Drosophila melanogaster: one gene and its partner. The protein of the gene in region 2 interacts with the protein of the main gene of each other region in a biochemical or structural test. Each region holds a gene or a part of one and is shown on either strand. Other genes may lie near its edges.

What was found.
Region 1: of the proteins of Orc2 (region 2) and Cdk2, one has a biochemical effect on the other in vitro, tested with the Drosophila melanogaster proteins (one study listed by BioGRID).

What each region holds. Positions count from the first base shown.
Region 1 is NT_033777.3:20,733,380-20,738,972, reverse strand, and holds Cdk2 (Cyclin-dependent kinase 2), read right to left. Parts: upstream 3,351-5,593; 5' UTR 3,277-3,350; coding exon 3,149-3,276; intron 3,051-3,148; exon of another isoform or gene 2,961-3,050; intron 2,883-2,960; coding exon 2,687-2,882; intron 2,633-2,686; coding exon 2,522-2,632; intron 2,463-2,521; coding exon 2,301-2,462; intron 2,242-2,300; coding exon 2,044-2,241; intron 1,989-2,043; coding exon 1,839-1,988; 3' UTR 1,789-1,838; exon of another isoform or gene 1,714-1,788; 3' UTR 1,608-1,713; coding exon of another isoform or gene 639-1,607; 3' UTR 559-638; downstream 1-558. UniProt on the Drosophila melanogaster protein: Like Cdk1, could play a key role in the control of the eukaryotic cell cycle.
Region 2 is NT_033777.3:13,962,891-13,967,775, reverse strand, and holds Orc2 (origin recognition complex subunit 2), read right to left. Parts: upstream 2,892-4,885; 5' UTR 2,843-2,891; intron 2,785-2,842; 5' UTR 2,769-2,784; coding exon 2,195-2,768; intron 2,127-2,194; coding exon 1,281-2,126; intron 1,211-1,280; coding exon 774-1,210; 3' UTR 701-773; downstream 1-700. Other genes in the region: Kots (kotsubu), read left to right, coding at 3,902-4,044, 4,129-4,885. UniProt on the Drosophila melanogaster protein: Component of the origin recognition complex (ORC) that binds origins of replication. DNA-binding is ATP-dependent, however specific DNA sequences that define origins of replication have not been identified so far.

The DNA of each region.
Region 1 (5,593 bases), 6.8 Mb from region 2:
GCTTTGGAAATGATCTGGGGCTCGGGACAATGCCATTACAAATCAATTTGGCTAAGACTGTGGCTAACCGTTCTGTGAACCAATAAAAACTAATCCAACGAGCTGGTCAAAAAGACAAAGGCATCACCGTCGAGCTGTTGACCACTGATTTCGCGATTCGGATGAGTTTCAGTTTCCCTTCGACCGGGAACGGTAACGGACGCATTCGAAATACTATATAGTAAGCCCGACGAACATATTGTATACAGCAATGCAGTGGCAATTGTTTACTGCCCTAGTGCTTTTTGTAGCATGGAGTTGTCCTTCGCAAGGAGTAAGGATATCCGCAAACGAGATGGAGCGACGCTTGCCGCAAAAGCAGGCAAAGATTGGGTGAGCAAACGTTGACGACTAACAATGAAGTTTTGATTTTCGACAGATATGACATTTATATAACCACTTTTTGGTATTTTCTGAACCTTATTTAATCCAATAATTCATAGTAGATTATTATTGCATATTATAGATATCACATAAACAATTCAAACAACTATATGCTTATATAGGATACATTTTTTTATAAAACAATTATATTTGAGTTGAAAAAAGTATAACTATGACATTTTAAAGTTAAACTTTGAACGAAATTTTTATTCTAGCTCCAGAAACTATCCCATCGAGTATGTCCTGTTGCCGAGTGCTCGTGGTGGATACAGAAGGCGCTATATTCATAGTCTGGGAAAAGCAGCTCCTACAACAACTGAACGCCCGTTGGTTCGTGTTTGGAATAGCTTCGTCCGCAGTGTTCAGCCCGCTTTCAGTTTCCGTAACCTGACCAATCCGTTGGCCAACTTCTTTAACGATGGCAGTACGAACATCATCGAGACGTCGCCGGTTTATCTGCAGTCCTACGATGAAGATCAGGAGCTGCAGCTTGAGGAACCAGCTCAAGTGGCCTCACAGGCTACCAAAAAACGCAAGCGAAAGCGCCGCAAGCAACAAAAGCGCCGACCGAGCTACGACTCGGCGGAGAACGATGATGCCTACAGCCCTTACGATCCCTACTTTGTGCCACCTTCTCCGCCGCGGTCCGCCGAGCCGATGTTCTTCTACGACACCAATTCCGGTAGCTACTACGGAGTACAGCGCTTCAGTCCTCAGGATTTCCAATCTAATTTTTACGGCAGCTTTTTATTCCGCCGCCTAGGGAGGCAGAGGATGTGGAAGGCGAGCATGAGGAAGAGGCGCCCGTAATGAGAAGACTCGGAACCAGAAAGGTGACCCTACTTCGACCACTGCCCCTATTGTCGGCCAAGGGCCAATCATTGACGAAGCTATTAGAAGTCAGCAAACCGGAGCATCCCATTGAGAATGAAGATGCAGCAGAGGAAACAGACAGCAGCGCACCGAGCGATGCACCGACTAGCGATGACGACGATGGTGATGTCGAAGCCCATTCACCGCTCTCCGAGAGCATGCGCAATACTCTTGGCACGTATATGCGCGACGATAGCCACACCCGCCAGCGCCAGAGACTCGCTAGCGATGCAGCAGGGGCTAACGATTCCGCCGCCAAAGTTTCGCCACGCCATCATCAACGACACCTTGCCCGGCTGAGCTCCTGGTAATCCATGCTAAGCTATAAACTATAAACTCTTTACTTATGGATGATCGTGTATTTATCGTATGTTACGTGCGAGTTAGGATGGGGAATGCATGATAATGAGGTGGCAGCTGTAAAATAGATTAGATATTCAAATAATTTTACTAGTTTCGCCTTAAAGATAGTGAGATAGACATCGAACTTACTATACTAGAAAACACAAGTAATTTGCTAGATCTGGGGCTATTGGACACGATCAGACGAGCCGCGTTAGACGCGAAGCGCTGCCGGCATTGGGATCTACAGGCAGGGCTACATGGTCAACATGCTGCACATTGCGGAAGTAAGCGTGCTGCAGTGCGTCCTTGGCTGAGATGCGCAGGTTGGGATCATAGCACAGCATTGACTGTAAGGTACAGAGTAGTGGATTTCCATTGGGGATGTACATTTTCTGCACTCACCATTATGAGTTCGTGCGCCTCGTGTTCGGTTATGGGTTGTGGCATGTTAGTTCCCTCCCATCTAGGGAACTTGGTCTTAAAGTCTGGCAGCTGCGTCACACCAGGCCAATTTGTTTCATCAGGTGTGCTTAAGGTACGGAAAATCCTATAAAGTTGATCGATCTCGCTGTCTCCAGGAAACAAGGAGCGGCGCATAATCTGTAATTCTAGGTTTAGTAATCAGATCCGCTTGGAATGTACATTCCATATAACACTACCATTTCAGAGAAAATGCAGCCTAGACTCCAGATGTCCACGCCCGTGGAGTAGAATTTCGTGCCCAACAGAATCTCTGGAGCTCGGTACCAGAGGGTGACGACTTCGTGTGTGTACGCCCGCATAGGCACGTTGAAGGCCCTTGCTAGGCCAAAGTCAGCCAACTGGAGTTGGAATTCGTTATTATCACAGAACCAACAGCGGGTAAAACCTTTAGTCTCACCTTTATTTTGCCCGCCGTGTCTACGAGAAGGTTCTGGGGCTTGAGATCGCGATGCAGGATACGATTCGTGTGGCAAAAGCCGACGGCATCTAATATCTGATGCATATAGCTCTGCAAAGTGGCAATGTGAAAATATTTTAATGGGCTGCAAACTAGTGTACTTACCTTTATCAACTGAGGGGTGAACACGTCTTTTTTCTTATCCATCAGCTTCTTTAGATCCATGTTCAGGTACTCGAATATCATGTACAGATTGTTGCCGGAAATGACTACGTCAAATAGTTGGACCACATTTGGGTGCTTAAGGTTCTTCAGCAGGGAGATCTCTCGAATGGCCGTCGAAGGAACACCCTCCGTTTCGCTGTGAATCGGAATTATGCTATTAAATAAAGCTAAATACTGGCAATCGTGATTACCCGTTTGCTAGCAAAAACCGATGATATCCTGTACCACGAAGCCGAATCATGTGGTGCTACGGATTACGGAAACGGCGCAGCTCCCACATAATTCGGGCTGCGGGGTGCAGGTGGATGACATTCGTCAAGGATAATATGTCCATATGTCACATAATATTTCCTATGGTTGCCATGAACAGCATCACAGTCCTGCTCCACCTGGATTACGCACCCTTCTAGCCGAATCTTTTTGAGGGCCACATCCTGGCCGGTGGAGTTGCTACGCGCTTTGTAAACTATACCGTAGGTGCCCTCGCCAATCTTTTCGGCGCGTTGAAAGTTATCTAGAATGGTGGTCATAACCTCGTAAACAATCCTTGAGATCGATGTTGGCAAAATAAACTAATATTTTGGAGGGAAATTCTTCTTCTTTGGTGATGCTAGCCATTCTCATGCAACCGCCGATAAGTCGCACAGCAGCGCCACATATCGATAAGAATTCCTTAATCGATTGTTCTGCGATGTGACAGCTCTAAGGTTGACTACCCCTATTTTAAATGTATTGTTTTCTTCTTTGCACAAAACTTTTAAAATAAAAAATAAAATTAACCGTTGAGACCCGTTAATGCCTATCACAGTTGGATCAAGACATTTAAAATTGATAAATAAAGTTAAAGCAAAAATCGTATTTATGCAGTTTCTTAATGGTTTCTAAATTTACTCTTTTAACTAATTAAATATATGTTTTTAATGAAATGTGACGTTCGTTTAATACGTTGATTCTCGCCTCTATCCAATTAATGTAGGGTGCGATGTACATGAAAAGATCTGCTCCTGAAAAAACCGAATCAAATTTGGCCAAGAGCTGCCGGATAATATAGTACTGTCTCGGTTCCCCATTTACTAGGCGAACTCCTGCCAGGATAGCGTCTGGATGCAAAGGAGCTCCGCGGATGGTCCTTCCAAAGACACTAGAATAAGGGTCTTTGGTCCTTCCATCCACGCAGAGAGCTGGCGCTAGGCCACGACGCGGATTGAGCAGTACGACGGTGCAGCGATAGCAGGTGGTAAATTGATTTCCATCCCTGAAGAGTATACGTCCCAGCCAAGGATGCTCATCCTGTTCCGCGAATGTTTTGTCGTTGTAAAGCTGATTTTCCAACGGTCTTCCACAGCGCTGAACTTCAGTGATTATACCAGTGGCTTATAAGTATAAATAAAGAAAATTGGTAGATAAGCATAATAAAGTAATTGGGTTACATCACTTACGCATAACCAGTATAACCAGTAGAACCTCGCTTACTGTCATCTCGCTCACAACAAAGTATTTTCCGATCGAGGAAATCACAATGATTTTGCACACTGAGAACAATAACCTCTTGCAGATAAAGTGTGAAGGTGTTTCTTATTGTCGCAATGCAATCTACTTTTCCAACAGGTATTTAGTTAAGTATGTACATACAATATGTGTGAAGAGGACTCTTTAACTTTGAATGAAACTTTGTTCTGAATTTAATGATTAGTAAATGCCATTTATCTACTATTTTCAATCATTTTTACATTTCTTCCGGACACTTAGTTATAGACTAAGATGGTTCCCAATCCAATTATTGGTATCTTGTGGTTTCTTTCGTACTGGCCGTGCGTTGATATTCACAAAAGATGCCAAGCTTCAGATCCATCTACAATTTTCATCCCAAATAGAGCTGCACCAGTTAGGAAATCTTTATCCTGGTGTACGCACGCACTCGTGACTCTGGCCAGGGTATGAAGGCTTTTCGGATGCTTATCCACCAGCGTACTGACCACATTGAATAGTCGGGCGATCACGTCATGGGAATCTGTATCCTCCGATACAGACAAACAGGATCTCAGTTGGGAGTTCAGTTTAAGGACGGCAACATCGTAAGACGGAACGATACTCTGGGTGAATAAAAAAGGCGACTTCTGTTTCCAAACATAAAGCTGTAGGCATCGCCCTTATCCAGGAATATAACACAGTGAGCAGGCACAAGGACATGGTTACGGCCACTCCGGAGCAGGGATACCACACCCAACCAGCTGACCTGGTGTACCTAATCCTGCCCAGCCAGTTGAATTGCTCTCGACTATCTTCTCGGTTTACTGGTCTTGCACTCGATCATTTTCTTGAACTGCTGGCCAGAGGAGAAGGGTCTTTGAGAATAAAGGCGGGGATCAGCGAGATTTAAATGCAATGCCTACTTCCTAGAGTCATTAACGATAATGTGACCAAAATAGCAGCCAATTTGAATGAGAGCATATCGCCATGCATTCCGTTTAGCATTGTGGTATGTTAAAATGTTGGGCTACAACTGAGTTAATTCCGGAGTGCGAGATTTGCCATGTAATTGCGGACCCTTATCGTTTAAAAAGACATTCCGTGCATTTTATGTGCGTTGCATTTAAAATTGTAATTGTAATTGCTTGTGGCAGGCGCACGCAATTCGCTTACACTCCACTCCATCTTGTCTCAATTTGTGTTTTACGTGTTGCAATAAAAAAAGTGCCATAAAAATCCGTATTTTAATTTGCTTTCGCCTCTGCGTTTATTTTTCGCGTGCTTAGGCTCTAGCTGTGAATGTTTTTGGCGCGCACATTTATGGCACATTAATCATTCCGGGCCACGGGCCGTATGCTTGATGACGACCTCACCGAA
Region 2 (4,885 bases):
CTATTAAAGAAAAAGTAAATGTGCGGCGCAGGAGATAAGACATTTTTATATGCAAAAATGCTGATCGCAAACTCGGTGTGTACAATTCAGGTATTCAGGAAGGGGTAGAATTTTGCAATAAACTCAAAATAATATTAATAGGAGCCAGCCATGAACGATTCCCCATTGTATGTGTACTTCCGATTGACTTCGCATGTGATTTGCTATCAAGAAAGTGTAAATAAACTAGCCTTAGTCGCAGCAATTACATTTCGTTTCGAGTGCACAATTAACTAGTTACAAGTCCAACGCTTTAATCTGTGTATGTGCGTGTCTGTATAGTGAATAGGTAACCGATATTAGCCTTTGGAATGGATGAGGAGCACGGAATGGTCAGGCGGTAGTGAGTCTTATCATTTTTGGCATGCTTAGCTATGTTTAGTTCGCCTCTTCTGATCCTTAAAATCGTATCCAAATGCGCTCTCATCCCCGCAGTCGTCGAGCACTTGCAGTGCTTTGTGAAGTTTTGTGTTGCTATATGCTCGCAACTGGAGCTGAGGAAAAAAACTAGCCATCCTAGAATGTGTATCTTCGAGCAAAGCGACAAATTTTATGCATGCCAATCTTAATGTGTAGAAATTGACAAAAAAATAAAAAAGAGCGAAAACAAACACTGCGCACTCATCATGGGCAATACAAGTGACAGCAACACAACATTTTTAAAAAGCGAAATTGTAATTGTATTTAACAATATTAGATAATAAATTAATATGTTCTAAAATTACGCCGATGGCCTATTTCTTCTCCTGCTCCTCGAGAAACTGCTGCAGCAGTGCGCCATCAATGGGAATGGTTAGCTGTTCGGAGCCATCAACGCTCCGTTTCGATTTGACCAGCTTGTGGTCGAGGAACTCGGTGAGCTGGGCACGCAGTGCCAGATCTGAGCTGACCAAAAATGCTTCGCGACAACTCGAATAGAGATCCCTGAACGGCATGCCCTGGTATGTGGCATTGCCCTTGTTCTTCAATTGATACTTAACAATCAGCATGTAAATGCCACGCGAATTGGTCGTTAGCGATGAGAAGACACTGCGCATCGAGGAGAGGGCCAATTCGCCGGAATTCTGCACCAGCAGCGAGTTCTCGAACGCAGTTTCGTTCGTATATGGCAGCATTGTTGTGCAGTCCCACCACGAGAAGTTGAAGCTGCACAGCTTTCCCTGGTCCCACACTGCAAATTCGTAAACAATAATTAGTTTTGCTGTCGCACTATAAAGATCTCAAAGCATCGGTGCACTCACACAGTGGGGTATTTATGTGATCAATGGAGGCCAGTAGATGAATGTTCGGTATGCGCGCCAGGCGCGAAAGAATCGCCTGTGCCTTCACATTGCGAAGCATGGCTCCATCCAGATTATGGACGATTAAGAACAAATGTGTTTCCGGTATCAGTGCGAACTCCTCCTCGATCATATCCACTGCTTCATGTGGATTAGCCGGACTAATGCCCGCATCTAATATGTCGCTTGTGATGCTATCCAGCATATCCTTGATGGTCAGACTGGGAAAGAAGCCATTCACCACCAATACCGTTTGCTTATGCAAAACTTCCCGATGGAATGACTGCAGCAGCTGGTGCTTGGAGCCCAATCCATATAGAAGTATATTGAAGCCTTCGTTCAGAATACACATCCACTTGGGAAAGTACGATCGATACTCCTCCATAATGGCATTAATAGAACCCTCATGCTCCGCCGATGTCTTGATTTCCGACAGCAAACTGAAAACACGATCGGCGGCCAGGCGAGGATTCTTTAGGCGATCCAAGGTGTGATCCGAAGTGAGGATCTTGCTGCTGGCATGCGAGTGAAAGTAACCATCGCTCTCGGGCACAAACTCATTCGATTTTTTCGCCCTCGCCGATTGTCGCAGGCGGGCTGCCGATGGAGTTTTCGGCAGAACGGGGACTACAATGGCACGGCGGGCTCTACTGGGCGTTTTGGGCTCATCATCGGCGGCGTCGTTGTCAGAGGAGTTGCCAGCATCGCTGCTACTGCTGCTGGAGGAGGATTCCTCGTCACTGGGCCGGAAATCGCTTTCATCTCCAGAAAAATCCTCATCTGAGTCGGCCACTATTTTGGCAATCTCTGAAAGTGATAATGAATTTATAAATAATGGAAAAAATGGTAAAAGGACGCAGAAAAAGGCTACCCACGCTTCTTGACGCGGGTGCGCACATGGGCGGGAGTCTTTGGCTGATCCATGGACTTCTTGCGCTTCGTATCCGGCGTCTTGACACCCAAACGCGGCGTTTTTGGGGTCTTGGGCGTGCAGGGCGTGGCATTTAGGGCGGCCAGTGCCATGGCATCGCGTTTCTTGGGCGTATTGAAGCCAAACATGCTGGTGCCGGCCACATTGTACTCGGATTGGATGAGATGCAGATCCTTGGCAGCGGGACGGGCAGCATTTTCCGACTCCTCGATGCTTTCTTCTTCTTCCTGATCCTCCGCATCGCTGCTCCGTTCATCGGACATTTCCACATAGTTCACAACAATTCGCTCTTCCTGGCCTTTTCCATTGCTTTCCTTCTGGTACGCCTGGTATTTCTTGGTGGGACTTGGACGTCGGGTGGAACGCCGACTGGTGACCTTGGGCTGAGATTCCACTGCATTCCCAACCATTGCCGTGTTCAAGTCCTCGGATTCCTCCTCCGAATTGGTGAGGTTCTCAATGGACATGAGGTTCTCCTTCCGCGGCGTCTTGTAACCGCCTTTGTTGCTGGCACTCATGACGCTTGCCACTTCACTGGGGGCCCTGATTATCAAAATATTCAATTGGTAAACAAATAGTTCGCAAAATATACTCAATGCTCAGAAGTGGCGGGAATTATCGATAACTAAGACATGCCAAGAGTGTGGCCAGCTCTCGACCTAGGAAGTAGCTAAGTTTCTAGCGTAAAAAAAACTAAAGGGGCATGACAATTAAAACACAAATGTTATAAATATTTGTATAAATATATATTTATATAGGTAATAATTACAAAAAGAAATTCCGTGACACAGTTTTTAGAAATAACTATATTGTTCGAATAAGAATTGCATACGTTATCGATAAATTTAAATTAGAATCCAGTCACTGACAAAAGCTGAAGTGTTTGTTGGCAACACGTGCGCGTACAAAGCGGTTATTTTTTCACTGTCACAAATTCCTTGCGGATTAACCACAAACGTTTTTAAAACTAAAAAGTGTTAAAATCGGTAAGTTTAGGAAAAACAATATTTGAAGATGGGAAAATTACGCTACGTTCTTATTCTGAATTGCGGTCGTCAATGGACTTGCGGTTAATTTTCAAATAATATTGCCTATATTGGCAAAATAATAACACAAAGTAGATTTGCGTTTTCAGATATATTCAAACAGGTTCAAAGAGTATTCAACTTCCATGAAAATGGCTTGGCGAAATTGATTGTAACTGGAATATGTAGAATATTTAGCATATGTTGTGTCGTTTTAATTAAAGTTTAAAAACTTCGTAAGCCTTATTTTTCCTTTTTTAATTAACGATCAAGTTTACTTCCATCAGTGCGCTGTAAATCGAAAACCAACCGATATCGATATCGTCCTGTTCTCTTTCTTCCCACGTTCGTTCAATGCACTGAAGCGCGTGCCCAGCGAGCTTCGAATTTAAACGCGTTTAGTGAACGTATCGCATGTTTGTGAGTTGTGAATCGCGCACTTAAATTCTAAAGGATTCCACCTTTTTCAAAACGAAAACATAGAAAGTTCTCGTCCAGCGTAAATAGATTTTCACTTTGTATTTCATCGCGTGCTAAAAGTTCTGTTAGCGCCATTTTGCTGCGTTTCCTTTAACGCGCCGTTCTTTCATTCACACGTTCTTGCGTTGTTACTTTGAATTGAAGAAATGGAAAAGTCGGAGGAAAAGACATGCGTCGTCTGTGGCACTCCGACCAGATTGATGTGCCAGCGGTGTGGAGAACCGTACTGCAATGAAAAGTGCCAGAAATTGGATTGGCAGAGGCACAGGCAGGTGTGCATCATTATGCCGTGAGTTAAATTAGTAAATCCGTTGCGCAGCAGTGCATTAAGTTAGGGGTTTTTAATTCTTATACAATACAAATGCGTTTCCAGACCCTTGGTGGAGTGCCGGCCTCTTCAACCGGCGTTGAATCCAATCCAGAGCGTAGAGAACCAAGTTGCTCTGGCTAAAACTCGCACTAAATCGCCAATCCCATGTGTGGAGCCCACAGTTGCTGTGCCGAACAAGCCGGATCTATCGGAAAACTGGCGCAAACATTTGCTGCCGTCGGGCATGGAGTTTTTCAAGTGCCGCGTGACTTTCATGGAGAACGATGGACCCATTTGGGTGGTGCACGTGGCGAATGTGGAGGCCATTGAGCGAATGACGGTCAACATGCAGCGCTGCATGCAGAATAAGAAGATGATTCGTATGGAAGGAGTGCGGGAGGACACCCTCGTGGCCATCAGTGTGGGCGACAAGGTCCATCGCGGTCATGTTTTGACGGTTTGCCAAAAGAAGCAAGAAGCCAATGTCCGTATGATTGACCACGGTCAGATAGTAGCTACACCGTTTCGGGATATCTACACCATTGTGCCCAAGATGGCCGAAAGCAAGGCGTTCGCTTTCCGTGTTCAATTGCCCACGAACACTGGAGTTCAGGACATTAAGAACTTGACGCTCCGTATGTTGGGAACCAAAACCAGCGACGGAGCTTATCACGTCCATCTAAAGCCCAAGATGATAATACCACTAAGTTTGCCCTTGGAGATGCTGCAGCTTAATCCAGAAGTCAAAGTCATCCGGGTCTTTAAGGCAAATCCAAAGCATAACGAACCGCAGCTGGCCCTACTCCAGATCAACGTGATG